3 linked regions of the Caenorhabditis elegans genome follow. The protein of the gene in region 2 interacts with the protein of the main gene of each other region in a pairwise test. Each region holds a gene or a part of one and is shown on either strand. Other genes may lie near its edges. The genes, in order: klf-2, nhr-66 and pax-3.

The links.
Region 1: the proteins of nhr-66 (region 2) and klf-2 interact in a two-hybrid assay, tested with the Caenorhabditis elegans proteins (one large-scale study listed by BioGRID).
Region 3: the proteins of nhr-66 (region 2) and pax-3 interact in a two-hybrid assay, tested with the Caenorhabditis elegans proteins (one large-scale study listed by BioGRID).

The regions. Positions count from the first base shown.
Region 1 is NC_003283.11:20,680,484-20,690,785, reverse strand, and holds klf-2 (Kruppel-like factor 2), read right to left. Parts: upstream 5,104-10,302; 5' UTR 5,088-5,103; intron 5,057-5,087; 5' UTR 4,970-5,056; intron 3,879-4,969; coding exon 3,690-3,878; intron 3,642-3,689; coding exon 3,221-3,641; intron 3,176-3,220; coding exon 3,116-3,175; intron 2,246-3,115; coding exon 2,016-2,245; 3' UTR 1,956-2,015; downstream 1-1,955. Other genes in the region: dbd-17 (DB domain-containing protein), read left to right, coding at 1-10; F53F8.3 (RING-type domain-containing protein), read left to right, coding at 1,268-1,751, 1,805-1,950; srsx-35 (G-protein coupled receptors family 1 profile domain-containing protein), read right to left, coding at 7,772-7,940, 7,984-8,185, 8,232-8,365, 8,410-8,523, 8,946-9,054, 9,102-9,214, 9,266-9,366. UniProt on the Caenorhabditis elegans protein: Probable transcription factor which regulates lipid metabolism.
Region 2 is NC_003282.8:8,231,905-8,242,206, forward strand, and holds the start of nhr-66 (Nuclear hormone receptor family member nhr-66), read right to left. Parts: upstream 4,679-10,302; 5' UTR 4,674-4,678; coding exon 4,605-4,673; intron 4,300-4,604; coding exon 4,131-4,299; intron 4,006-4,130; coding exon 3,921-4,005; intron 3,111-3,920; exon of another isoform or gene 1-3,110. Other genes in the region: T09A12.8 (AraC family transcriptional regulator), read right to left, coding at 9,641-9,748. UniProt on the Caenorhabditis elegans protein: Transcription factor. Binds to regulatory elements and regulates transcription of target genes, including the potassium channel accessory subunit mps-2. Negatively regulates transcription of mps-2, thereby modulating age-dependent memory decline.
Region 3 is NC_003280.10:10,140,692-10,150,993, forward strand, and holds the start of pax-3 (Paired box protein 3 homolog), read left to right. Parts: upstream 1-5,878; 5' UTR 5,879-6,156; coding exon 6,157-6,198; intron 6,199-6,628; coding exon 6,629-6,726; intron 6,727-6,771; coding exon 6,772-6,868; intron 6,869-7,566; coding exon 7,567-7,750; intron 7,751-8,159; coding exon 8,160-8,234; intron 8,235-10,302. Other genes in the region: asah-2 (putative acid ceramidase), read left to right, coding at 1-51, 150-332, 398-490, 536-655; F27E5.3 (uncharacterized protein), read right to left, coding at 766-955, 1,022-1,715, 2,203-2,263, 2,312-2,354, 2,402-2,528, 2,640-2,760, 2,804-2,937, 3,387-3,501. UniProt on the Caenorhabditis elegans protein: Transcriptional activator. Regulates the lateral/ventral epidermal cell fate decision.

The sequences.
Region 1 (10,302 bases), on a different chromosome or scaffold from region 2:
ACGAGTTTAATTTTGATTGAAGTCAGAGTAGAAATTCACATTTAGCCGCTGCATATACCTCAATATTCATGTACCCTCCGATGTTTTCTCTCCAAAATCACTACCATTATACTGCTTTACTAAAAAAGTTTTCAAATTTTTTTTTGATTTTTCGTTTTCCCGGTATCCAAATGACATTTCAATGAATTTTTATCTTAACTTTTTACGAAAACACGGAAATTAAACAAATTTGTCAGATGATGTTCGTTACCATAACCAATAGTATACTTTGTTGATCTGTGAGCATACGATTGCACTCTGACACTGTGGTTCAGGGGTAAGCGGCAAACGATTTTTCCGGCAAACCGAAAACTTAGCAGAATTTAAATTTCCGACAAATCGGCAAGCCTGCAAGTTGCCGGAAAAACGGAAATTGCTGAAAACTTTCGGCAATTTCCGTTTTTGTAGTTTTTTTTTTTTGAAAATTTCAGAATTTCAATTTCAATCGACAAAATTGGGCGAATCTTATGAATATTCCTACATTCATTTTAAAAAGCAAGCAAATTTGAAAATATTAAATAAAACAGGGAAAAAATATTCAAAAAGGCACAGCTTGAACTCCGTATTTAAGAAACCTTCTAATAATTTTCGGCAAATCGGTAATTTGCCGAAAATGAAACTTTTTGGCTAATCCGGCAAACCGGCAAATTTGGCAGACTTCAAAAATGTGTACTTGCCGAATTTGCCGAGCTCGGCAAATGCTGATATACACAAATTAAAAATGTTGCTCAAAATTAATGGTGTTGATCAGAAACATAATGAAAGCAAACATATAACTTTTTGGCAATTTTTAAATTCCAAAAAATATTGCGATCTACCAACTATGATGACCACGGCAAATTTGGTAAATTTCTTTTCAATTTGGGTCAAAACATTTTTGATCTACTGATCTATAATCTTCAGGAACCCCATTTTCTACTCAACAAGACTTGCCTCCCGGGAAGAAACGCTCGTCGCATAGGGCATAGGGCGAATCGATAATTATTCCTCCCAGTTCGGCGCGCTCTGCGTTTCCGCAAAGGTTTTCTTTTCCCATTTTTTCTTATTTAATCATTATTTAATTATTCAAGAGATGTTATGATCACTTTGATAAGATAATACTTGTATTTCATCCAGCTCTACTATGTTTCTCAATTTCTGTTCATATGCAACCTTTAATTTATTCAAATATACTCTCCCACTCTCTCATTTACTCATTTAACTAATCATACTTTTTTTCAGAATTTCCATGTTGCGACGTAGCTCGAGGCACGCGGACCAAAGAAAGAATGGTGCACAGTTGAGAGCAGAGGAAGAAGCCAACAAGGTCAAATTGAGATTAACCGCGGAGAATGAAAAGTTGAAGAGTGAAGTGGAAAAGTTGAAGAAAGATCATGAAGAACTGTCAAGGGTTACCCTGAAAGTCAATACAGAATTCACTATTCAAGAATCACACATGGCACGATTACTGCGAGAAAACATGAGTTTGAAGGAGCAACTTAACGACTTTTCCTTCAAATTGCGATTCAGAGACGATATGTCTCGCGTCGAAGAACAAGTGAAAAAAGAGCAGGGAGTCACAGACGGGTATCGAAGGAGAGTGAACCAATTGACAGAATTTCATGTGAAGAGTCAGGAAGAGCAACGAGGAGAACCGTTCCCATGGAGAACCTGCGAAATTTGTGCTTGCAAGTTTGAGGGAGAAACTATGGATCAGACTCCGCGAGTTTTGGGTTAGTTTTAAATTATTTTTTTCTAAATTCAGTAGAAAACTGAAAATTTTCAGGCTGTGGTCACACGATGTGCATGGGATGTGTTCAAAAAATTGTCGGGCAAGGGTACATCAAATGCCCTTTCTGCCGGATTGTCACAAAAATTGGAACTACGCCACTCAATAATTTGCCAAAGAACTACATTGTTCTTAATATGTGAAAGGATTCAATCTACTGTTTATTCATAATTAAACGTATCATCTCACTCATAATGAAACGAAATCTTCAAATAAAAGTCATGAAATCCTTGAAATCATCCATTCCATCGTCTTGTTCATCCGTTTCATGCCGCTTCATATGTAACTGCAAATGATCACTTCTCGAAAATTTCCTGGAGCATTCTTTGCATGCAAACGGTTTGGCTCCAGTGTGCTTACGGTAATGGCGGGTTAGCTCGTCGGATCGTGCAAATCGCCAAGAGCATCCAGGCCATTCACATGGATACGGCTTTTCACCTAAATGAGAAGATTATTATCGAATAGGTAATACTTTGGCAAGCTGCTGACTAGGGAATGTTCAAAACTCCAAGTGGCCATTTGGTGTGAAACTAACATCATTTGAAAGCTGAGATTTTCAGCTTGAAAAATCTTAATTTCTGCTGCGGATATCAAAAGTTGTTGAAAATTTACGACCGGATCTGTATAAAACTGACTTTGGCTATCCGTTTCTCAAACCTCAAAATTAAAAAAAAGTGCTCAACTAACATAAAAGTTGAAAACTTTACATCTTACCGTTTTAGAAATAAAAAGCAAGCTAATTTCCCAAGAAGCAGTTGCAAATTTATAAATTTTTAGATTTTCGCAGCAAAAAAACATTTTAAAAAGCTTAGCTGACGATCTCAGTGTCAGATCAAATCGCGACTCTGAGTTTCGTCAATCACCAGATAAACCAAAATATAATAGATATTTCAGGCGTTCTTCCTGCAAGCAACTTTCGCATTTTCCACACTTTCCGAAGCATTAGGAATTGGGTAAGTTATTATTTTCCAATTTTCCCGCAACCCTCCTAATTCTTATATCCATAGGCCCACGCACTTAATTGACAGTTTATTGATACTTTACAACTCCTTATTCGATACTTCTAAAAGGGGGATGCCGCGAAGTACCGGACAAGGCCAAATATTGATATGGACTAACATAACATAGCAACAGTAGTTGATTCCTGTGCATTCGTTACAAAAAGTATCTAGTGATTGATGAGAAGCGTGTTTGTCAACGGAAGTATCCCGTTACACAGAACAATGTGCCGACGAGTGCGCGCTGTTCACGACATTGAAGAGGAGGATATGATTAATTATGTATAATGAGGTTCTGTAAGCTACTCACCACTATGAACACGCTCATGAGCTGTTAGATGGGAACTTTTTGTGTAGACCTTGCCGCAACCTGAAAATGAAATTCAAGCTTAAGCTAAACACGCTTGCAACTTACCTTGATAAAAACACTTATGAACTCTTAATCGATCCAAAGTAGCCTTATCCCTCCGTTTACTCGGCACCTTTTTTGGTTTTTCAGTGCTCTGCGGATGATATACTCTTCCACGATCTTTTAAAGGAATCCTGGGATCTTCCTCGTCTTTACCCGACAAATCGCTTGAAAATGAGTAACTGGATACAGACGCTGCAGGCGATGGAACGAATAACTTGGCTTCAAACGGATATGGTGTCGAGCTTCCCGAGTTTTGATGTTCCATTGGAGTCATCGAAGGTTCCATGTGATTGAGGTGAGTTTCGGAATTATTCTGTTGTGGAAAGTCATGGGAAAAATTGAAAGAACTGTGCGGGCCTTGTGGAATATTTTCTTCGAAAGTTTGTTGGACATGGTTATGATGATTGTAGTGCTGCTCGATGACCTCAAAAAATAGAAAATTGAATTTAAAAACTTCAATTAAATACAAAACCTGATTATTAACAGGTCCCGTATGAAAATGATAGTTGTGAACATTGATGACTGGAGCCGCAGCTGCTCCATTATAATGATGATGAGATTGTTGGTGATAATGCTGCTGATGATGTTGGTGATGGGCATTTTGGTATTGAGACTGATGATAGTAACCATTTGAACTAGACGGGACTATGCTAGAGTACATCTGGAAGGAGTTGTAGATGAATAACGATAAATTGAAAATCACCAAAAAAGAGTGAGACTCTGAAACGAATTTTCAAAAATTACATTGTAACAGAAGGTCAAATAAAAATTAGCATAGGCAAATACTAATTCATTTTGTGGTTAAAAAAAGATGTAATGCCTGAACCTAATTGTATGCATAGTTCTAAATTTGTAGTGAAAATCTTAACCATAAGCCAAAGTAAGGCAACTTCTACTAGTAGATAGTACAAATATTCCAACACTACAACAACACCATGTAATACCGTTGTGCATACACACACGCACAAATGTGACGTCTTCATTCTCGTTCAATACATTTCAAGTCATAAAAGTCTTGCGTTCTTCTTTGCCTACTGCTTACTTTTCGATATTTGTTGTGAATTTTCAAAGCGAAAGTTGTAGTTCTTGTGAATATGTTTTTACGTCATATCACAAGTGTATATACAAATAGGGGGAATTAGTAGCAAAATTTTTGGATCTTTTTGATATTTAGAGAATTCACACTCAAACCGAAATATTCAAGAGATAAGAAAGTTAAAGGTGGAGTAGCGCCTGTGAGAATTTTGTCTCACTTATATTAAACCAAAGCGACAAAATATCATGATGCAACACTCCTAAAAATTTTAGGTTTCTCATAATTCCAGGTCAAAGTTTTGGCACATTGCCAAAATATTGAAAAATATGAGCCTTTGAGGAAATTCAATGCAGTGTCGCATGTTCCGACCCCTATAATTTTTTAAAACAAATAATTAAAACAAAATGAAAATATAAAAAATGCAAGAAATTTTTTTCCGACTTCTAAAATTATGAGTGGCAAAGAATGAGCACTTGTCAGTTTTTGACAGTAAATAGAAAAATTTCAAAATTTTTTTGAAAGTTTTATTTTGATATTCGGTCATTTTTGACACCATAGGAGTTGTTTTTAGCATTTTCCCCAATGGCGCTGCTCCATTTTTAAGAACTTTCAAGTTCGAAATTCTGGGAACTAACTACTAACTATAAGGCTCTAACTCTCAATGCACTGAACACGTAGGAACTAACTCACTAAAAACAAAATACCTATGTACTCACCACAAAGAACAAAACAATGTTAATGCTAGATTACAATACGTGCCTTCATTAGTAGAGCATCTATCGTGAAACTAAAGAAAAATGACTAATGTTTCCACAAAAATAAACATCCTAAGCGAATATACACACCTCTTCTGGTCTACAAAAAAGTGAGCTCCCCAGGCTCCAAAAAAGGGGTGTGGTGACACCAGACCGGTCACTCCTATGATAACAAACAGAAAACTTGAGCAAACTTTTCTTTCCCCCCAAGAATAGAAAATACAGAAAACTTGAGCATGTGTAGATGGTGGTCATGATATGTTTGATCTAAAGATTACGACACTTTTGGGCATTTCGAAAAAAAATAAACATGTCAAGAAGACGATGGTCAAGCTAGAAGAAAATTATCCAAGAAGGCGCACATATGCCCTGCAAGTGCCATTTTATGATAGCATGTCAAAACTGATAGGCATGGGCAAACAGTAACCAAAAAACGGGGAGGTTTGTTGTTTCTCTGAGAAAGGGGTGGCAGAAAGGTGTGTGCGCGGAAAATGTGTGGAGGGGAGATGGGTGTCATTAATAGAAGAAGGAAGGGAGTTTTTTGGGAAAAGGACATGTGATAAATAATTTTGTTTTCAAAGTTCAGAAATTTTATAGAAAGAACACAAGGCTTTGTAGTGCTCCAAAGTTATGCCGGTTTTGATCAATAGTACAGTACATCACGGGTGGGTGGCAAACGATTTTTCCGGCAAATGGGCAAATTGCCGGCAAATCAGAAATTCTATTTCTATGAAAATTCTATGAAAATTTCAAAAAAAAAAACGGAAAAAAATTCAAAAAGGCACAGTTTTAAGTGTTTCCGTCTTATAAAAAAAATCCCTCTAAACATTTTTGGCAAATCTGATATCCATCAAATTGGCAAACCGGCAACTTGCCGAAAATGAAAATTCCGACAAATAGGCAAACCGGCATTTTGCCTATTTGCCGGATTTGCGGACAGTCAAGTCACAACCAAGATTTGGTTTTAAATCTGAAAATGACGTGCGGGACTAAAAACAGAAGGGAAATGTAGACGCTAGATTGAAAAAAAAAACTATACATATCCACAAACAGTATCACTTACAGTACTCTAAAATGATACCCCAATGCTGTGTTTATCCAAACGTCCCCCCCCTCCCACCTCCAATTTTAGTACCCTCTTCCCTACCGCCTCGCCTTGCTACAGTCGGGAAGTTATGATTTTACGGGTGCGAACAATCCAGTAAGTGGGTGCGGAAGAGGAGGAAGCAGTGATTACTGTTAAAAGTGCCGACTAGGTATGTAAACGTACTTGAGAATATTGTTTGGACGGGCGGTCTCCTTTTTTTCAACTGCGGCGGGACCATATCAGTTTTATGATTGATTAATGTTTGATATATTGAGATAATGGAAAGGTGTGTTCGACTGGTAAAACTCGCAGTATGGTTTTAACTGAGGCAACTCCAGCAACCTAATTCTTTGTAAAAATTGTAACCGTCAGGATTTTGAGTTTTGACAAAAAAAACTAATAAAAATATTAGAAGATCTCGAAGAGAATTCAGATGTGAGTAAACAAGTATGTACATATGTTCTGAAATATATTTATATATACACATATATATTTACATAGACATACAAATTTAGTGGCAATGTATCTTTTTGTCTGACACTCTACATTTTTGCGTGTTTAAAAGTGCAAGATGAGTCGTAAACAATTTTCATTCGATTTTTGGAATCTGGTTTTTAAAATTGAACAGCAAGTAATAGATCGTAAAAGCAACACAAACCAATAAGGACGTTGCAAATTGACCGGAGATTTCTGAAATTTGTTTTTTTTAAATTTAAATTGTTGATGTACTTACTTGCAATAATATGTCACCAGGACCATAATCAAATTTCCAGTAGTCCCAATTACAAAAACTGTACAATAAATAACGAAAAGGATAATTAGAAGAGGTTCCATTTTTTGAGACAACGGAAGTGAGAAAATACAATAACTACAATCTATTATATAGGTATTTTTTATATCCTCTATAATTTGTATTATGAAAATAGGTGAATTCTAAGAATCCCTTAAAAAATATATATAATAACTTTAGTATAATAGTCGTTAAAAATATTTCTAGTTTTCGCAGATAAGTACATAAAAAACAAGACTATCTAAGAATAATCAAAAATCTTTTCCAGAATTATCTTGTTTCTAGATATGATAATCTATTACATATAATAGGACCTCATTAGTCAGCTTATCTTGAAAACGATACAATATACAAAATAACTCCCAACACAATCGTAATTCTGACCTTCTTGGTTGCATTTTTCGCGCTCCATTGACAATCGCCTGCCGGAGATGACGCGTGTAAAAGTCGAGTACTCTAAAGGGACAAAAAAAAATTCAGTTTTACAACAAAAACCAATCCGCGACGCGGCACTCAACGCTCCGTAAATCTACCCAAGATGCGGCCGAGCCAAAATGGCCTAGTTCGGCAAACTCTAACATTTCAATTTATGATGGAAGCCAGACCCGCGTGGAAGATGCAATCAAAATTGACAAAAAGATCTCGTACCATACTTTCAAAAATTATTTTAGAATGCTGGTACATTTCGGAAGTTTAATGATTCTTGACGTGGACAAGAAAATATTTCAACATGAACATTTTTTTGGCCTAACCTTCACAATATTGCAATACTACAGAAAATTACATTTATTTGTACAGGATCACACAAAAATCAATAGTAAGCAAAGTATACAACGATGTGATTGAGGTAAGAAAAATATATTTAAAAAATTCTTTAATGCAAATCCTAGATATGAAGTTCTTGTTGAATCGTGTTCAACGCGTTTGTATTAGTAGATGGTCTCTGAATACTTGATCTCTGTGCATCTGTAGCTTGTTGATAAGTGGTTCCTTTTGCTATGGATATTTCATTCGAGAGACCAAGCATTGTGCGCATTGCTGAACGGTAGTCTCGACTGAAAGAATGTTTTGGGCTAGAATTAAAAAATTTCAAATTACCTCAATTTGTAATACACCACGGCATTAAATGCGCTCGACGTGAATATAAACGTTCCGCAGTACAACTGAATCATTCTTGCCACGTCCTTATCCATTGGCAGTGTTACCGTAAGCGCACCAATCAAGTCAGTCGTCATCCAACCACATACAACAAGGCATACAGTGACCATTAATGATTTGAAGACTGCTTTCATTGAGCTATCTAAATTTAAGCGTAGAATTTCCTCAACTTCTCGTTGGTTAATTACTCATTCTCATATTTTTGATCTTAAAATACACATATGCGTAGATGGGCGGTACAAAAAGATTTATGACAAACGAGGTGAGAGCAAACATATCATAGGCATGACCCAATGATTCCGGGAGTAGGCAAACGACATTTCTAAAAAGTAGCTTGATTGCCGGAATTTAAGTAAAACTGCTTACCTTTTTGGGTCCCGTTGCCCAAATCCCATGATTAACAACGCAGAGGAGTATATGATTGGAAACGCCAATAAAATGAAGAAGTACTTGTAGCGTTCGTGTTCTAGCATTTTGTATCTGAAGTAGTGTAAGATTACTGTACACATAGAGAGAACAAGTGAGAATTTTGAATTATCATAAGTTTTGCCCAGTGGGTAAATTTGTTAACTCGCTACCAACTGACTTTTAACTGACTCTTAGATCAGCAGATGGAACGTACCATTCTTCAACCTAGGGCTCTCATGGGGCCGCCGCAACGGCGGCCGCGCCGGCCTCACGGCATCACTCACGCCGCATGTATCCAAATGTATAGTGCGGCGCGGAACCCCAAACGTGTCGGCCGCTTCCAAATAACTACCTTTTGAACTTCATTGCACACAGCGGCGCGACTTCGGCGTGAGGTTTCGCGCCTCACCCAGCAGGGAGCCCCCACTACTTTTTTTAAAAGTTTCCGCCATTACTTTTTTAAATGCAAGAATTTGCGTTAGTGTTTTGTATACCTTGTAGGAGCAGCTACCGCAATGAGCCTATCAATTCCAACAGCTAAGACACATGCATTAGACGCGAATGCTCCAAAATCCGCCGGGATATTGATGTAGAAGCAGAACTCTGGATAATTTACTTTTCAAATTCATTATCAAAGATAATTGACTCACCTTGCGTTATTGGTATAAACATAGACACCACAAAAGCTATGATGTCGGTGAAAAGCAGAAGATCACAAAAGCAGCAGACACAGATTAGCATATTGCAAATGGATCTTAGATTTCTGGAAAAAACCTCAATATGTGCTCGAACGTGCTTAAGATTTGCAACTCACTTGCTATGTAGCGTTACCAAAACCATCAGCAAATTTCCTGTGAAACCGACCACAAAAATTGTTGAGTAAATAAACAGAAGAATGATAAGAAGAAGCTCCATTTTCCTATAATACAATTCGGTACTGGAGGTTACTAGAAAAAAAAATGAAAAAGTGCGAAATCGGATTTCAATTTACAGTTTTTGATAAGGCAGATCGCAAAAATTCACAGTAAGGAGAAACTTTTTCTTTATTTTCAAAAAAAAAATTGTGACTGGCAGCTGAAATGAATAATAATGTCACAAGTATCATGACTATACGTCAACAAAGAACGTGGGAACTTTGTCTGTCTTTGATATCTTTCGATCACGTACTAAAAATTCTAACCAGACATCTAATTATCACAATGGTAAAGTTGTGGGCCCAATGGTCAGTTAGAGGACTTTTCCTGGCGCAGAATATATATACTTTGTCGTTGTTTTTCTTTATTACAAAACGTGTTGTTCTAGTTTTTTCTTTATGTCTTCTTTGAAAATGCTGTCAACTTTGAAAATCCAGAAAAAAATTGAAGAAAAACTGAAACAAAGCTGAAAGTTGGCTGATTTAAAACAGCTGAAATCCATTAAAAACTCAAAAAATGCCACGTGTCACGCAATGGTTAAGAATGAATTAGTTCTTGGAACATGTTTTTTTGATTTTTTGTTAAAAAATCCACACCGTGTTATGCACACAACAACAAACTTGGCGTCTCGATTTCTGTTAACTGCGAATTTTAAAAATTTATAAGTAATAAGTGATATAAAAAGAACGTATCGATCTGAAAATATTACTTATTTTCAAATCAAAAATTTTTGAAGAATAAACTCCAAACAAGTTATAATCTGGTATATTTGAGCTGTGAAGTAGTAAAAATGACATTTTCAAACAAAATTTAAAAACTACTAATGATTTGTTACACTGACGATCATTTGAGAACCCATCTAAAAAAAAACTAATCTTGCTAACCGCTAAAAAGAAAGGGATTATATCATGTCATGCATTTAGGTACATATCCTCCG
Region 2 (10,302 bases):
AAGTCATAAATTGATTTTTTCAGTACTATTAAACTTTTTGAAAAGTTGTGATTTCATATAGAAAAATTGTAATTGATATAAAAAAGAATTCAAGATCAAAGAAAACTTCCAATAACTATAGAATTGCTAAATGAAAATCTACTTGAATCGAGGTTTTTATTCGAAAAAACTTGCAAAAAAGAGAAAAACATTTCAATACAAACTTTTGCAAACAAATCTTTGACCGATAAGATCATTGATAAAATTATTGAATGAAAACACAGTTTTTTAAAATGATTAAAAGATGAAGCATTGTAAATGAGAGAAAAACAACAAGAAATGGTCAGTTTTTGCATCAAAAACTTGTCTTCTTTCTTCCATCAACAATGCGGACATCCATTTTGGAGAGTGGGTGACGTTGTCGGGAAAAACTGAATGAATGGAAGAGAGGACACCTAATCGTTATACACAATCTTACTACGGTTTTATGACTTCATAGATCAAGAAGAAGAAGAAGAAGCAAGTCAAATAAGGATGAAATGAACAAGAAACCACCGCACTGGGTGGTATAAAATTAACGGAAAACAGCTAGGAAACGGAAGAAACTGGAGGATCTATGAAATTCGAGGCGTTGTTGAATTTCGTGATGATGGAAATGAAGCATACGTGAAGAGGGAAATGGAGACACAGGCATTACCAGCATCACACGTACTCGCTTCAACGTCGTCTTGTGGTGGCGACACACTCATGTGTTTCTCTCTCTCTCTCTTTCTCGTTCTCTTACACTTTTCTCCATCTCTTTTGGAAGTGGACAACAGGAAGACTTTATGCAGAAAAGTTGCCAGAGGACAAACACGTTGAGAAAGTAGTGTAGGTGCCTAGCAACAACACCATCATTGTCGTTTATTTGTTTCATTCTCGATTTCTCTTGGAAAAAGCGCGCCTCGTGGCTTTCCGTCATGTATGATTCTATCTTTAGCGTAAATGAGGTCGAATCGCGAGGAAGGACTGGGGCGATTCAAATGCAAATTGCGAAAATGTTTGCAAGGAAGTAGGAAGGTGAACTTTTGGACAGAAGGCTTCTTCTTTTATACATCGTGCAAAGGTTGAAATCGGTGCCAGGCAGAACTGAAGTAAAGTACCAAGCACTTTTTGCCACCTGATGTGTTTTTCAGAAACTAATGTCTAGTTTCAAAACACACTTAAGCCTCATCTATTCAAACCAAAACATAATCACCCGGTGTATCATCAAAATAAAGTTTTGCAAACGTAAAAATAACGTAATCGTAGCAGTGATCCTATAAGTACGAAAATTGGTAGGTAGGGAATTTTCTCCGCCGTCCGTCCGAATTTTTGCATGTAGAATTTATTAAAACTCTATAAATGCTTGGGAATCTTATTGATTAACACCTGTTTGGGTTATGGAAAAGCTGACTATCATTTTCCTTAAACACGTGAAATTCTTGCTGTTTGAATCAATATAAAGGAACATTCGGAAAAATTGAAGAAGAAAAGGAACACCGAAATGGGTGAAATTTTCTTTTTCTTTTCATCGTCTTTTATCTTGTTCTCCGACTGCCCTCTGCCACTTTCCCTCACCAGTGATCTGTCAGGCGGACAAGGTGGAAACCGAGGGATTGACAAACACTCTAAGGACACTACGCACAGGAGTGAAGAAGAGTCCGTGAATACTTATTAGTTTGTAGGTCATTTCTACGAAAAAATACAAACGGTTGGCCACCTCGTGAACCCGATCTTTGTACAAGAAGTTAAAACAGTCGAAAGTCGATTTTTGCGTATGCACAAACGGTTGTTTATAGTATAAACACAAACTGATAACTCTAAGTCACCATTTTATCATGACTATTCGCTGAAATTGATCGTTTTGATCTAACGATCCGAATGATTACACGATGAACACCATTCAAAATAAAACTGGCGAAATTAATTTCAACTGCTTTGAAATGTGTAATTGTAGGCTTTCAGCAGATTTTAACAATCTAATGTAGATCACTTCAATATTCTAACACACTAGTCTCATTCAGCTTTTCCACTGAAGATCAACGAGATTTATAAGATATTCACATGACAGTTTCTGGACAATAGAACAAGTGATAACGTCTTTATTCTAGATGCCCGTAGTTTGTAGTCTTTAGAGTTTGTCAAATAGATGTTGAACATTTAATAGGGCGAAATGGGGATCATCGGAACAATAATCGAAAGCAAACGGCTGTCAACTTGAATAGAAATATTTTGGCAATAAGCCAGGTTCTAAAGTACGACAAAAGCCTGCTAGTTCCATTTTGGAATCAACACGATCCTGATCTATGCATTTCTTTTTGAAAAAATCTTTATATAAACATCGAAATGATGATAGAAAATGTTGTAGGCCAACACCGATAACACATGAGTTTGTGGTATTTTGCAAGCAGGCAGGCGCACGAAAGAAAAACCGCAAAAAGCGATGATAAACCGGAAAGTTTCCGGTGATGGGGTATTGAGTTTGCTATAGCACACAGTTTTCTGTTTTCCCGAAACACAAACACGTGGCGCTTTTGGATGTTGAAGTGTGCGCTAGCGAAAGAAAAGAAAGGAGAAATACGTAAAATGATACATTGAGCCTTTGAACTTTCTCGTTGTGTGTGGTTCTCTGTGGTTTTTTTCCTTGCAGAAAAAGAGACGAGACTCATCAACGCAAAAGTTCTCATGCAGTCTGGGAATTTCAAATTATGCAGTTAAGCACAAGATGGGTCAGAGGAGGAAAGCTTTAGTAAAGAGAAAGTCGACGAGTTGGTAATGAGACGAGAGTTTCCACCTGTTTCGGATATACGGAAGAGGCAAAGAAGTAATAACGGAGAGCCGGCTAGCTTGGAAGGAATTATAAACGGAGCCGATCTACCAAGGCGGGTTATTTCTGACCCCTTCAATTTTCCTCCTATTATCGGTTTGTTTTGAAGCGCATCTGCTGTCATTGAGCGCTGCAAAGCTGTTTCGATGGTCAGGCGGAACGGACAATTGGGGATGGATGAAGGACTTCGGGCTTTAAACGATGGACGGAAGACCTAACAATTTGGTGTTCGACTTTTTATATAATAGCTTGATTAAGTTGCTATATAAATCCGTTAAAACTTGAATATAATGTTGCACCACTTGTTCCCGTTGATCTTATAATTGAAAAATCACATCGACTAATTTAGAAATCATAGAAAAGTGAGTTGCAAATTGTAAAATAGAGCTGCTTCAGGTGCACATATAAACTTCAGTCTAGTCGAGAAAAGATGATTACAATGAAGCTTTCTTACAACAAGTATCTCTGGAACGTTGCAGCACAGAAATCCCTTCATTTCTACACATTTCAACGACAGGAGCATGCCAGTCAGCTGTACTCTGCACCTTTCTCCCACACTCTCCACTACTCATGTGTCATGCAACATACAACGGATCTTTGTTTCAATGCTCTTTTACTTGCATTTCCGTTGTCGCGCATGCACATTTATATATATATATGAGAAGTCTGCTCCCAATGACAAGGGCAACCAACTAAAATTATGAAGGATTATTTGACTTTGTTCTTTGATTTTGAGTTTCTTTATTCTAAACTTATGAATTAGCAATGTACTCTATGTCTCTTCTGTATGTAACATCACATTTTTTAAGAAAATAGCGCTGCTCAGCTTGATTAGATTTATCAGACACTCCAGCGTTGTCAAGCAGAAATCAGACAGATGAAAAGTACAAAGTCACAGAGCAGGAGGAAAGATATGGATCAAAGCACAAGACTTTGAGCGAAGATAATAATGAAAGATCAAAATTCAAATTTAATTCGGAAGGTTCAACTTTTTGATTATTTCTTTTTGAATTCCAATTGCAATTTTTTTTCCATACAAAAAACTGCCTATTTTCGGCAAAATTTTGAATTTTCAAAAGAAAAAAAAACTCACGGTAATAAGTTGAATCCGTCCAGTCTAGCGAACTGTAGTAGAAGTTCTGGAGGCAACGATGTCAACGAACCAAGCCCAGTGAGTCCTTAAAACGAGCATGATTGATTAATATTTCAGAGAAAACAACAATTGTTTACGCGAACTACGACTCAATTTCTCCCGCGCATTTCTCCCCCATTTTTCTTGATTGACAATAACAATCTACCGTACCGATTTGTGGAGTCATTGTCGCTGTGAGAATTGGCGTCTGGGATTTCCCGGAGGCCAACGAACCGATGATCGGTGTCGAATTCTGGATGTCAAGACATGATGTTGATGTTGTTGCGGGGGTTGAGAGAATTCCTCGAGCGATATTGATCAAGTCGACTTGAGATTTTAACTGAAAATAAAATATTTTATTGAATTAATTATTAAATTTCATGAATTCTTCAAAGAAACAAGTTTTTCGACTAAAAAAAATACAATTTGTGCGCGCAGGGAACCACAAAAAAGAAACAATTTGTTGAAGAAAATGGTTCAAAGGAAGGCTTGGTCTCGCAACGATTTACCTGCGTTGTGCCAGAGACTACGATACAATTTAAAAAATCAATTTTTTTATTGTAAGCATAAAATTTTATAGAATTCTATTTAATATTAATAGGAAATTTGATATTAAACTTTATAAAATTCAATTTTTATGCAAACCTGTGTCATTCCTTGCCACACCGACGATGCTGATGTTGTCGTCGCTGTGGGCTCATTGATTGGCGGCATTCCATAGAAGATGTCTGAAAGAAATCTGAAAATAGTTGACGTTTCTAATTTTATTAATTCGAAACAAAATTGCGATCAGAATAATGAATAAATTGAGCTCAACAGAGAGCAGGCGAGCACAAGTCGAGTTCTCAAAAAAGAGGCGGGCTGAAGTTTGCTCGCGAGAGCTTTGTAACAAGAGCAAGGTAACCGGAAGGCCATCGAGGAACGAGGAAAATTAGAATACTGAACTGACAAAAGGACCTTGAAAATTGAAAGTATGAGAAAATGGGCGGGGCCGCCGGCAGGAGACACGTGAAAGATCAGCAGAAAAAGGACGGATTGAACGAGAAATCAAATGCGCCAATCTAATGGATTCGCTTTTATTCTTTATCTGTATATATGTATGAGATGTTGTGACGACGACACCATCGGGACAAAAATAATCTTAGAAAACAAAAATTTTCAGCAATTTTTCGCTAATAGTAAATTTTAAAAGGTATTTTTTTAAGAACGTAACATGTTTTTGAAGATGTTGAAATAAATAAATTGATAAAAATTGTAGAAACGTTTTTCACGAAAAATTATCTCATTTCACGAAAGCTTACAGGCTTTTCGAAATGCTTTTCGCTGGAAAAAATTTGCTACCGAAGAATACAGCAAGTGCGCTCTGGTGAAATCCATTTGTGCGCGAAGTTTGAAATTATTTCTACAGTAAGATGAAATCAGAGAAATCACAGTTGTCGAACATTTGTAATACACGATCGTCGCATTATTTGTGGTTTATGGAGCCTCAAAAGAGAATTCAACAGTAAAAATGTGCATTATCGCCACAAATGGAAAACGCGCCTCGATATACGATATTCTGCAGCTAATCACACAAAAATCGGGTGGATATTATACGCAGTCACGAGGGATGTGCAGCATACCGTCCGTTCTGATGCTCAGCAGTGTGCATACAAAAGGGGCTCGAGATGGGATATGTGCACAGCTTCTCGCATAATAACTTTAAAACAGACTACATTTTGGCTATTGTTAGAGATTTTAGAGAAGAACAAAAAATATGAAAATTCGAGAAATCAGGCATTGTGGGTAAATAATTATAACTATAGTCGAAATGAAAAAATGTTTTTATTTTCTGTTATGCTTCAGCTGTTCATCGTTTGATTTTTCTCATAAGACTTTCTCTCATAAGAAGTTGAAAAATTCAAATGTTAGAAATACATTCGTGTCTAGATATTTGTAGACATGTCGCGTTGTTAGGCTCACTGAACACGTGCAAATTTAGCGAATATTATGAAAATTTTCGTAGTGTAGCAGAAAACATTTAAAAATCAAAATTTTCCGAGAAGCACATTAAAAAAGAATACAAATGTGTTCTTTCAAGTATTTGACAGCTTTCGTTTAGGGATTCATTCAAGTCAGCAGCAAGATTTCGGACTTCATGCCTACCTGCCTAGAAGTCATGGATTCAATCCATAAAACAGTGCGTAAATGGCAGGTGCACTTTTTCTGGTATAACTAAATAAACATGAATTGAAATGTTACTGTAATTTGCTTGCTGATATTTGAAGACGTTCATTTAAATGTACTTGAAAGCATTATCAATTGGGAAATAGTTTAAAAAAAAATTTTTTTGCAGTTTTTGCAACCAAAAGTGTAGATGCTCGTTTATCTTAATGACGCGAGTTTGAGTTTGAGAGTTGAGTCTCGCTCGAAATCCGGAAAATAAAAATAAAAAATCAATTATCGCCTTCATTTTGATTATTGGTTTCAATTTAAAACATAGGAAGTAGTTATCTTTGGTCCAAGCCTTTTGTTTATAATTGATTTGAACATGAACAATTGAAAACTTTCTATTAAAAATCAATTCAAGTATCCAACAAAATTTCCTACAATATTCGAAAAAAGAGGCATCATACTGTATAAAATTCGCTTTCATCATAAAAAACAAAAATGGGACAAACGGTTGGTAGCAAGCAAGAGACGGTTTTGTATTTGAAACGAATCATGACGAATCAAGAAAACCAAACGAGAAAAAACAAAAGACAATGTCAATTGTACGGTTTTAAGAAAGTGATTCAGAAGGATTCGTAAAAACATAAAATCTTGAATTTTTGAGTATTAAAAATCTCTTCAAATCGGGCGATGTAAGAATCAGAGGTTCCATGTTTGAAATATTGAACCATACAAGACAGATGAATGAGATATGGATTGAAAGGCGGGAAGGATATTCTAAGACTAGACAACAATCAACACGGAATTCGGACAACCGATCGAACATCTTCGAATCGTTGAAAAAAACCGAAAAGAAAATTACAAGAGAAAGTGTTTAAAAAAATTGTTATAGAAAATATTCTAGAGACCAGTCTAATCTACTAATGTACACTCAAAAAAATTAATTCTAAAGTAGATCAGATTGAAAGTATGTTTAGTTTTTAGGCTAGAACATTAAAAAAATAAACAAATTATTCTAAAAAGAAGATTCTTAAAGGGGTTTTTCAAATCATTTTTTCCCAACGGTGTGTCTTAATTATTTTTAACCAAGTGGAAAGCTTAAGATTTACCCATCTCTTGTTGAGAAAGAATGAAAAATGTTTATGTATGTACATTGAAAGTAGGTACGTAAGGTTGCCTAGAAACTAGACATGATTGCAAAGTCGTACCTACGTTGAGTGCATATTCTAACCGGTTTGCTTTCAATTTGAAACTATATGTAGAGATTACATGTAATTTTTCCCATTCGGTCACATTCGGGAAGCTTTAAAAACACAACAGCCTAATTTTGCAGTAAAACGTATATGGTAAAAATTAATCCGCGTGCAAGACCTAGTAAATCTACACTTCATAATTACCAAAAATTAGAGTCCCACGCCTGGAGCCTGCAGAGAAGTACCCCATAAAAGCCAAAGACTAGAAAAATGCCGAGAAGATATCTAGGTTGAAATATTAAAAAAAACTACCTTCAAAGTATAAACTTTCGTTTGACAAAGAAGATAGAAAGATTTATTCGGAGTCTGTGTATCAAGTTTGTCCAATAGAACGAGTGCAGCAAAATAGGCGGAGCTTCTTGGAAATTGAATGTAGTTTTCTTATTTACATTTTAAACTTATTGTTTTTGTTTGCAAACTTGAGAAAGTTGATGTCTGTGATGAAAAGCTGTGTACAAACTACAACATGCTCAATATTTGACTATCTCTCATTCAATACGTCGAAACTGCTACAAAACACGATAACTGTATGGGCGTATGTGTGTATATGATTGTATAAGTGCAGTTAAAGAAACAAGAATATTATTTCATGAGGTGAAGCCTAGATAGATGGGCGGTAATACATATAGATCAAATGAATGATAAGAAAATAAGGATGAAAAGTTTGAAGAAATAATAGGATGTAATTATGAATATACCCTATTTCTTTATTATATTGACTGTTTTCACCTTATTATAAAATCGGAAAAGATGGAATAATAACATAGATAAGATACCCGAAAAATAGGATCTTTTTGGTGGACCTGGACACTCGGTACATTTTATTGGGTAACGGAGTTATTTTATGAGTCGGTTTTGGAGAAAGTTTTATCATTTGAAAAGTTGAAAAGAAAATTAATGATATTTATTAACATATAAGATAAAATATATACTTTTTGAAAGTTATTTGATTTTTTAGATGAGCAGTGGAAAACTTGGCCACAAACTTGTTCGTCATCTCATAGCTTGAAAGAGGACAACGATAAATATTTCTTACAAAAAACATTTTCATGACGTGTGAAAAATTTGGACTTTTGATAATATTTGTATCATTAATTTATCTTAAGATTTAAAAAGCTTCAATATCATTTGAGATAAGAGAAAACTATTGAAAATCAATTTGCGATATGTTGCTTATGTTAACGCAACGTTTTAACATTAAAATCCTTTTTGACCAACCAGAAGGATAAATAAACATAAATAATTAACAAAATCCTTAACAAATTACTGATAGAAATTATAATCGATTCTGAACGATAGGAAATTTACAATAAAAGTATCTATGCAGAACCGTAAAAGGGCACACAACGAAACAAGGTCAGAATGCGGAGATTTATCGAATCGGGTTTTTAATTTAAAATTGAAAAGAAAGAGTAAATGAAAAGCAAAATAGCCAATTTGAAGATGAGTATGAATCTAGAGCAAAATACCGAATTAATTAATTATGAGAGCAATTGTATTCACAGACATTTTTTGATTTAAGCTTTTTTCCAAATTTTCTGTTAGAAATTTATTTGGATTTTAAATTTCAACTTTTACATTTTAAACTTAAAAATCTCTTTTTTGTTGTACCTTCAACTGTTTGTTTTAGAAATTCAACACAGGCAAAACTGATAAAATGATACTAGACACAACGACACATAAAAGGTCACATCATCTTGTGATTGTTCATTAAAACAAGTGGCCCTTCAAATCATTTGTCGTGAATCAAAAATCTGCAAGAAAATCAAATCACTTTCTCGTGGTTAGGCTTTTGATTTCATGAATCATGTAGTTTGTTTCGAGATGAAGTGAACTTATAGAATTTTCAGTTTGTTCTTGTGTATACAGTATTTCCTTCGATAGTATTGTACTACTTCATTTTAGAAAGTTAAATTTCAGTTAATTTTAGAGATATCAATAAGTAATCAACTGCGAATCGAATGAAAAAGAAATAACAAATAGATTGTCAGTTTAGATTTTTGTATAGGTAACCCCAAAACTGAAACATAAGCTGTCAAAGTTGAGGTCGCAAAAATTAGAAATGTTTTGAATTCTATAAACGAGGAATACTGAAAGAAAAAAGAGACAGGGAAGGGGGTATTATAACAGGGCGAGAAAGACAGTCACTTGAGGTTGTAGTGAGAACCTTCCTCGCGTCAAGGTAACAAGAAAAGATGGAGGCATTTGATAAGGAGGAAGAACGAGGGAGGACATGGAAGACCCCCGTCCCCCTCTCTTTTCATTCAGCCACTCATATTACAGACACAAAAAAGGTCCTGCTGGTCTTTGCCTTCTCCGTGTTACCATGTCACAACGAACCGAACATCCAGAGACACATGCCAGACGATGACGTTGTATCTTCGCCTAAAAAGTGAAAAAGCCTCATGTCTCATTTAGAACACTGATCAAAAGATATCTTTCCTTCTTTTCTTCTTCACACGCCCGAAATTTCTTACTATAGACATCCGACCGATATGAATCTTTTCGATGGAAACTACGAAAATCAGGTTATTAAGAGGCTTCGTATTTGAGCGCGTTTACAGGAAACTACTTTTTTCCTAGGAGAACATCTTGTAAAAGTCATTGGTATCAAGTGGATTCTAGATATACGGTACACAAATTTAGATTCGATGGCAGGACAACGATTAACTTTTCGTCTGGATCTATCATTTTTCTTTGGATTTGAGAAACATTAGCATGAGATGTTTAAATGTGTGTAAAGTTTGTGTTTTTTCAGCGAGCTATGTACATCTGTCGGAAACTGCAAAAAACTTTATAGGGAGACTTCCAAAATAAAGGGGTACGGTTTCTGGCATATTGCCCTTTGCCGGATTGTCTATTTTGATGTGAAGTGCGGTGTTTGATGTTTTGAGATTTCCTCATTTTTCATTTCATTCACTTTTTTGATAGTTACAATT
Region 3 (10,302 bases), on a different chromosome or scaffold from region 2:
TTCGTCATGTACTTTGATCGCTGGCTATTCGAAAACTGTGACGATTTCCAGGTCAGTTTTTTTCCCGTTTTTTTTGTCACCCCTGCTAAACAAATAATTAGTTCTGTTGTTGTTCACTTTTTGCTCATTCGCTTTTTTGCTCTTTTCAGTGTGCTCGCGAAAAGATCGCCGGTGTCAAACTGTTGACAGGCGCTTATTTCATTCTCGGTGGAGCCAATCCGGGTGAGGGAAGTGTGCTCGTGAGAAACACGACATCAGTTCAATTTGAGAGGAAGTTATTCGATGGAGCTAACGATTGGTTCTTGTTGCAGACTAATTATGATCCTGATAAGGTAATTCTTACAAGATTCACATTAATTGCAACCTGTTATGGTCTTTAAACAATCATAAATTTCAGGATCCACTTTTTATTGACAACCGTCGTGACCCTGGAAACGCCTGCATGAATAAGCTTACTCGCGCCAATGTTGGAATGAAGGGAATCTTCACGGTAGGCATACTTTCGCATAAGACTTTCAAATTTATTGTGATTCAGGTGCTCTCCTCCAAGCCAAATCTTAACAAGACTACTGTCCACACTGTCATTATGTCTGTCACCAAGGGCTACTTCGAGACTTTTATTCAAAAGTGTCCGAACCCATGTTGGGCTTTCTAATCGGTCCGAAAATCAACAAACATAAAAATAAATGTTCATTAATAAATTCTATGAGTCTATTCTACAACACAATGAAAACGAGGAAAAAATTAAACTGTAGGAAAAAATAACTATTGGAAACTGAATGCACCATGAGGGAATGTTTCAATTGATGCAGTTTTGTAGTGAGACGAGTCCGTTTTGAGAATCGAGCTGGAGACAGTTGAGTTGGTTTTTGGAGCGGATCCAACGATAGCGGCTTCAAGACGATTTGAGCCGGTTGAATCAAAGAGCCAAGAACGAGTAGAACGACGGTGACTGCTGAAAAGACAAAAATTTTAGATCTAGAAATCTAGAAAGATCTAATAACTTAACAACAAAACTTACGTGGAAGACTTAGTAGTTGTGCTCAAAGCTTTTCCGATCTTCCCATCTGATCCACTTGCATAGTAATATTTCCATTCTCCACGTCCACCTGCTCCATCTTTTCTTTCTTCTTTCTGACCATCAGATCCTTTATCAGACGATTTAACCAATTGAACGGGACTAACGATATCCATGCCATATTGTGGATTTTGTTTCACATCATCATCTGGGGATTTTCGAAGATCATCGGAAAATGCTTTTGGTGGAGACGGAATATTATCAAACTTTGATGGAGGAGAATGAAGGATTGGGTTGGTGATTGAGGCTTCGGAAGTTCCAGATGGTACATTTGAAGTGTTTGATCTTGTGGTCGGATCCGTTGAATTACCAGAAGAACCAGTAGTATCAACAGTTGATGGTCCAGATGTTGTCACAGTAGATGGAGACAGCTTGGAAAAACTTATTGCAGCTGGTGGTGCCAGATCATCTTTCATCTTTTTCTTCTCTGGAGACTCTTCAAGTGGTTTTTTCGGTGGAGAAGTTTTCTGAGCATGAAAAGGCTGTCTGGTGAGCATTGGTGGTGGTCCTTGCTGAGAAGAAGGCTTATATGGCTGAGGAAGAAAGATTGGGGTGAGCTTTTGGGTTTCATCATCGGACACCTGTCTTGGCCTTTGATTCTTCGGAAGATACGCGAAACGAGAATCATGTTTCTTCACTGAAAAGAATAATGTAAAAAATTATAAGTAATGTGTGAAGTTTTCAAGCCACACGAAGCATAGCAATTTTTTTGGCTACAGAAATTTCGCAGTTAAACTCCGATGAATATAAGCTAGATTTTCAGACAATTTCAGCAACTCAAAGGGAAAGTTTTTGGACATTAACTATTTTCGATGACTCGCTAATAAAAAAACAAATCAATCAATCATCGTTCCTCCAGTTACAACCAAAACTGCTGGTTCCTACTACCACGACACCGACTTGCTAATTGCTAGCCGCCATCCTTTAGATGAGCCCGCGATAGTGACAGTTCGCCGATGAACTTGTTTTGCCTATTTCTAGATCTAGATAAGAAAGGATCAAAGGGACTGTCCAGCAAATCTAGGATAAAATTCCGAAATAAAGTTTTTTAAGAGAAAAGGGAATGCTGGAAAATTTGCACAATCGTCACCGCTAACACATTGAACTTTTCCCTATACACTTACAATCCGATTGACTTGCCAATGAACTCTGCGCAATCGGTGTATCATCTGCGTCGTAAATCGGCTGGAACGTAATTAAATTGTATAACATCGTTTCGAGCGATGTACTTACTTTGTCCATTGCTGGAGTTGCGACCTTCTGCCCGAGAGAATTACTGTAATTTGATACATTCATAAATTATGAGTTGACAATTTTGAGTACCTGATTTTCTTCTTGTCCTTTCCAGAGTTTTGCAAATGTTGAGCAGCACAGTTTTGAGCGGGATCCACAAAAATGGTGAACTTCTCATTACCGTTTTCTTTGGCAAAGGGTTCCTCGTTTCTGCCACCTGTAAAAATGTCTTGTTAAAAATCAAACATTTGGCGTGACTTTTAACTGGAAGATTATTCAAAACTTTTCATTTCAAAACTTTTCATTCCACGTGTAATTTCAAACTCACCTCTTCTATTGTTTTGAGCCATATAATTGAGTTTTGCATCAAACTCTTGAGCTTGTAACTGATCCGTCACAAACTTCCGTTTCAGGTCATGAAGCCGCTTGCGCATTCTTCGTTTGTACATCTGAAATAAAGAATGAGATGGTGGTAATCAGATATTTGTATACCCATCGAATGACAGCTGTGGCGAGCATACAGAAAAGAAGCACAAGGACGGTAGTGATGAACATGACGACGAGGATCCAGGCGTAGGATTCGGTTGGAACACAACATCCATAGTGGGCGAAGAAGAATCTACTATCTGAAAATGATAATATAGAGTTTGAAAACGCAGTCGATTGCGTCCATCAGGAACCTCAGGAACTAAAAATGGACCGAGAAACATTTTTTTCTCTGATCCTTCATCTGAACACTTACCCGAATATTTACCGCTCATCTTTCATTCGCAACTGATATGGAATTGAAATCCAAAATAAATTTCGATGGAGTTGTCAACGTGGAAATTTAATTTTAATCAGAGCAAGATATTTTGAAAAAAGGGGGAATGATTGTCACGTGTTTAAATAAAATTTCCATGTATTTTTTTTTCATCCGTAAAAATTATTAACTTATTTTTATAATTTTTAGGTTTTTTGATCTATAAATTAATGTTTGCATAGAACAATTGCCGCGCACCTCTGATTTGGTGGCATAAGTTTTGAGCAACCCACCCCTCCTAATAATACACAATTTCTCTGTGAATTTTCCCACCTTCCCGCTTCCGTTTCACCATCTGGTTCTTGTCTCGACACGCACAGGTCTGAAAAGACTGAAATCCTTCCAGACCTGCCGTCTTCCGGCTAATTACAACCAATGCCCACCACATGGCCTAAGATTACCTCGGCTCTTTTGTCGGGTGGGAGCAGGCAACAGTATATTTCCTAATCCGCAGCAATCTGCCACTTGTCGGAAGTGGTTGTACTCTCTCTTCCTTAAAGGTGTTCGATGTGACATGCGGGGATATTATCTTGTCACTTATAAAACACACTGCTAACCGTCTTCTTTTTGTCGACACTATCGAGTCTCAATTTCATTTTCCTTTGTCGATGATGTGTCAGTCGTTAATTTGCTAATTAAAGGGTGTTGATAAATTGAAGGCGTCCCTATCATTTTTCTAGTGATGGGATGCTAAAAAAAAATTGAATGTGGTGGGAAATATTGATGTTCTATTTCAATCTTTCTCTGCTGCCCAACCTATCATAGTCAATTAAGATTTTTTGCAGAACTTGAGAAGGAGACCGGTCGAAATCGAGCTGAAAGGTGTTTGGATTACTGTAGTCTTATGATGAAATACAAATAATAAGAATCCAGAACTTCGAACAATAAATGGAGACAGCTGTCAATAAGCTAAATTTTCAAGAATTTCATATTTTTAATTTGAAGTTAGTATATTTTCTAATGTTTCATTTCAAACAGTGTGTGCCTTTAAAGTGTTGTATCATCTATTTGAGAAATTACAATAATGACATAAGTATTGTAGAGTTTAATGAGACACTGTAACACGGTGGCTGGGACAAACTCTTTTCACATTTTGTCAACAAACTCCCGCACTCAGCCCATCAATTCTCCATAGATGATGCCCTTTTCAGATAGCGGAAAACCCCGCATCATCATCATCTCACACTTCTCCGGATAGATAGATAAAGATATATCCAAGTGTTACAAAGGTGTGAAGACCCCCAAAAGTTGACATCGGCGCGTGGCCCTTAATTATGACCGCATACCACTTCAAACGATACCGCCACCGTTTCTTCGTCCCCCTGATAACATGGTCCCAGATTATCAGGAAAATGGTGTAAGACAACCTTGCGCAATCCGGGAAGATGAAGAAGGAAATGATGATGTGACACGTGCCGAAAAAGAAATTGGGCCCTACTTGTTGATTGGGTAATGCACGTGTAGTTTTCAGGTGTTTTCGGTATTAAAAGGCTATTTGTATGGGGTAATAAAGGATTAATGACTAGGATTATTTCACATTATTTCACATATTTTCACGTTTTGTTTCTAACTGAAACTCACAAATAATTCTCCAATTGTGTAGTTTAGAATAGATTTATATCTTTAGACACCGTCGGTAAACAACTAAAAATACCATTATTCATCTCAATGACATAAACTTTCCCAACACGAGCCCTCCCAAACACCGACTCGCTAATTGCGAGCAATTTATTGATTGACAGTTCGCGGATGAACTTGTTTTGCACATTGTAGATCGAGATAAGACAAGTAGGTTCTTAAGTCGGGCCGACACAAAACAGATAGGTCTAAAAGAACGTCTGAAATTGAATAATCAGATAAGACAGAGTAAAGGGATACTGAAAAAAGAATAGTTATAGAAATACTTGAAAATCTGAATGAATAGAGGTGACAACTATTTTTCCAAACTTACAACTAACACTGGTCTCAAATTACAGATACATATATATGTTAGTTTTTTCAGATTTCAAATTAACCTACCCGTAGGCTGGTAGGCAAGAATGTAGTCGATCTTTGCAAAGTCATATCTTTAAATTTCTCATTGGAAATATTTGTACCGTATCCTCGAAGCACTTTTCCTCCTGACCTCTTTTGTTTGTAAAATATGTTTACACTTTTGAACACTGGAAATGAAAATGGGGAAATTGGTCATTGCCAACAAGTTACACTACTCTCGAAAGTTGTCTGTTTGTTCTATCTGTTCTTGTTTCCGTGAAATTGCAACTTTTGGAATATGTATGTTTTTGGTAATCAGAAAATTATTTTTGTGTTAGGTAAGTCCAACAAATCACATAATCGAAAAAGCAAACAAAGAAAGTAAACTTTGTCTGAAATCCATTAAGAAGCTGTTTTCAAATATTAGTAGCATGAATAATTCTAACGCTGTTTAAGCTTTTAATGGACATGAACGATTTTTAAAGTTTTGAAGTATTCGTTTCTGGTTCCAGTTTCATGTTAGAGTTACTTCTAGCTTCACCCAGAAGCACGGTGGACTGCTTAGATCTATGTAGCTATCTGCAAATATTTTGAATCTGCAAGATCCGCACGCTCCTAGATGTCCTTTTCTTCGAGACTATCCACAGGTGAATCACCATTTTGCAGGTGCTACTACCAAACATTGACCTTTCAAATCAAAACCATCGAGCACATAAATCTTCATCTCCAAAAATCCACCTCCTAGTCAGAATATCTCTGATAACAAACCCACATACCCCGCGCCAACATCTACTAGTACGTCCTTTGATGCTTACCGCCCGTGTCTTTCGCCCTTCTCTATGTCTCGCTGGTTTCGATTACCGTACTCGAGACTATGCATGCCTGTAACAGACCGCGCATGCGCATAGGTGGGCGGGATCGCCGTCCCGCCCATTCACAGTTCGACAAGGCGTGTCACCTCGAAACTACTCGCTCCTTAAGTTTTCACGCTATATACCTGATATTCACACATTCGGTATATTGGGGGCCAGCCATACGTGCTCCTGATATCCCATCCACTACTAACAAAATGACCACAGATTCTATCACATTTAATCACATTCTTGGGCAGGTAAGTCTATGGTTTCGATAAGTTGTTTTCTAGTTGTAGTGCATAAACTACTGCTCAGGTATTTTTTAATGTCTAGAAGTAGGAGATGTATCCCGGAAAAATTTGATTGAAGAAATTTTTGGAAATTCTAGATGGTTCTAGAATGTACGTTAATTTCGAATTATTTCTATACTGGCTCAGACGTTTTAAGGAGCTAAAATTAAGCTCTTGTTAATTATACAGTTTGAAGTTGTAGCCTATAGAAACTTTTGATTTATTGTTAATAGAGCTCATCAAGCATCACAAAAATTAGATAGTATCATTACTATAGTTAGCCTTAAGTTAGATTTTCATAGCATTTGAAAAGTTTTTGAAAATATGTTTTGAGTTTTCCAAGTCTCAATTTCTTCTCCTTTCTCACCGCCTCTATTGAAGCCCAAAATTAATTCAGGGTCGTGTTAACCAACTCGGTGGAGTTTTCATCAACGGTCGACCCCTTCCAATTCACGTTCGTCATGCTATCATTTCAATGGCCAAAAAGGGTATAAAGTAAGTAGTCCGAACTTCTAGAGAACACTAACAATAATCTTTTAGACCATGTCACATCAGTCGTCAACTCAAAGTATCTCATGGAGCTGTTTCGAAAATCTTGAATCGTTACGCCGAGACGGGCTCAATATCTCCGGGACAGGTCAGTGCATTTTCTGGATGATAAGATAATTTGCTAATTAGGTCATCAGGCAGGCGAATCATAACCATAAAATTTAATGTTTGCCTACACGTGCCGCGTGTCGTCGTCCTGATTCAAAAAAGTACCGTAATACTCAATTTTGGCGGGTCGCGCAGGTGCGACGCCCCGGGTGGCACTTTTCGGCATTTTTCAAAAAATGCGTCGGATGTCTGTGTTTCTGTTAAAGTAGTTGTTGTCTACTAGGTTTTTGGTTACCAAAAACATACGGTAATTACAATTCCAAAAAAAGTAAACTTTGAATTCTTGAAAATTCCATTTTGTTGGTTGCAAAACGGCAAAGAGTGTAGAACGGGGAGTGCAAATATACAAAACAATTTTTATTCATTTATAAACTTTAAAATCATCTCAAAAACAACCTGAAACTTTCCAAGAACTGATATCAAAACGTTTTCGGCAAATGACAACTTTGAAACAGTTTTTGAAATTTTTCTCGACTATTTCAATGCAAATAACTGATATTTTCAAACTGATCAAATATTTTTCTATCTATATTTCTACATTTAATTTAATAAAAAAAAGAGTTATAATCTGGGATTGGGCAGTTTTGTAGATTTGCCGAAAATATTCGTCATATTTCTTACATAAGCCTAGCGAAAGCAAATGCTTTTTAAACATAAATATCTATGAATTAATTTCAGATCGGTGGAAGTCCCCGCGCTCGACTTACAGTCCAAGCCGTCGAGAAAGAAATTCTGATCGCATGTGATGAGAATCCACAAATGAGCGCTGCAGAGCTCCGAGATTGGCTTATTCACAAAGACATTTGCACAAAAGGAAATGCTCCAACAGTACCTGCGATAAAAAGGCTTATTGGGAATAAAGGTATAATAATGATGAAAACTGTGAAGGCAAAAAAAAGGTAGAGGAATAGATGAAAAACAAACAGAAATTCGTTTCGTTTGATGAATGTTCCGCTTCTGATAGCTGTGGTTGTGTTTGTTTAACTGTTGACAACGATTTTTTTTGTTTCGAATACTTTCATGGAAACTTGCTTGGGCGTCATTTTTTGATGCGTGATTTTCCACAAAAATTCAACAAACCTCACAAGAAGAACTTCTAGACATATTCGATCAAATTATCACTTTCTATAACCTCATCAATCATTTCTTCACGCCAATCATATCATCTTTTTTGCTGCACTTTTTCATCATATCTTCCTTATCACTTTTTTTTGTTTTAATTTCCTTATCAATATTTATCTTCACACAAATCACCACATACTTTTTTGCAGGCGTCGGGGTTCCGAAGAAAATGGAACGAAAACGGCTGAGCTACAGTATCGACAGCATTCTGGGAATTTCAATTGGTAAGTGGTCTAATTGGAATAGTCTTGATTTCACACATTTATAATTTCGTTCCGTTTGTCTCATGTCCTCCAACACCTTTTTTGGGTGTCGGATTTCCTGTTCAATCAGGCAACATTCCGTTCTTTCAATTCAATTTTCTTCTGCCATATAGTAACACACAAACAGACGTAGCATGAAAGTTTTCATTCCTCCCAATATTCCCAAAGGGGCCAGAGGGCATACTGTATATTGGACTTCTTTGATATAATAACGGTCATTAACACTTTGATTAGTATCGCCTGTATGTCGCTGTGTATGTTAACGGTGTGATAAGACGATAAAGGCGAAGACGTTGAAGAAGTGGGGGCGGAAAGGACAAGAAGCGTCGGTGAAGAATGATGTGAATTAGACAAGGGGGCACGCGTCAGGGGTTGATTTTAATCAACAAGACCATCGTATTTGTTTGTGAGTTGCATGCTGTGCGCCGCCACGGAGATCTTCAGGGAGAGAACCATGACTGATTGAATTACGGGTTACGGTAGTGTACCGCATTTTGTTTCTCCTGATCTGCAACAAGCGTACCGGAATGTCCCGCGTGTCTTCAGGCCTACCTGTTAGCTTGCCTACTGCCTATTCGTCTACATCTTGGTGTGAAGTCTAGGGTCTGATGTTGCATTGTGAAGCCTATAGGTAGGTCGCCTTGATGTCCGGTAAGCAGGCACTTTTGATCCTAAAATCTTGTTTGATCTGTGCTCAGTTGTTAATCACATTCGGTAGGGTACGGTAGTTGTGCAAGAAAATCGTAATCTAAAGAAAGAGCATGTCAAATTCCAGGCATCATACGCCTACCTTGTAGGCACGCAGGCAGGCATTTTTATCATGTTCGGCACTCCAAACAGTTTCATTAAATCTTTGTCTGAAAATTCAAGTTTAACAACAGCTTTGAGACTGTTTATATAGAACGAATAAAAGTGAAATTTTTGGTTTTTAAAACTTCCAAAACTTTTAGCCTACTTTTTATAAGAAACTAGACAGCCACAAACTTATGTTTTTGCAAGTTACTTGAATTTCTAGGGGTCATGCCACTACCTCCTGCTGTTTCAACTTCTTGTCTTCCAAAACTTTCAACACTTCCCCTCTCTTCCTGTCCCGTTTTTTCCCGCTTCCTAACTTGTCGTCAATCTTGTCATTCCTTAAATTGTGAACCACCGCTCAACTTCGCACATTTTCGCATACACGTAGCAATTAAGATAGGGGGAGAAGATTTGCGCACTTGATAGGTGCCTATTCAAATAGGTAGGTAGGAGGAGGAGAAAACGATCCAATAAATTCCATATTTTCGCGGCCAATTGATCAGGATGGGCACACGAGTGACTGGCGCGAGAGAAGATTGGGATGCGCGAAAAAAAGCAAACACATGCATACGAACATAATACATATCCGCAATTTAACACATTAAAACTTTGACATTTGACATTTGACAATATGATTGTTAGGGATGTGGGTTACGGTATGTTGCGCAAGATCGTTAGTAGGTGTTGGTCAGCTTGCCTGGAAGGCAGGCAGGCATGACAGATCATTGTGAGCTTGTTTATTATCAAGTTTTTACCGAGTCCGAGTTACCCTCTCTCCACCACAAACCTTGAACCAAAGTTTGAACTCGGCGGTGCGGTAACGTGATTTTTCAGAAATTTCCCGAATTTGTCAGAATACTTCCATGATTTTCCACATGTCTATATTTCTATTACATTCATAAGTAACAAAAATTAATATTTTCCAAAAATAGGTAGCCGTTGAAAACACAACGCAACGACTGATATTTAGGTATCAGAGACTGGAGTGATAAAGTTCCAGGTGAAAAAAGAAATGGAAACAAAAGTTTCTTCTTCCTGGAATACGCTCAGAATACATTGCTCAATGGGAATATATTATAGCACTCCCCCGCGCCGTTCTTAATGAGCATTGGGAATTATAGAACGATATCGTTAAAAACTACAGTATGCTTAAGGGAGAATTCATTTTTGAAAATCTTACTCTACTCGGCAAGTAGCTAAAGTTTTCTGCAGACTATTACCAGAAAGAGGACTA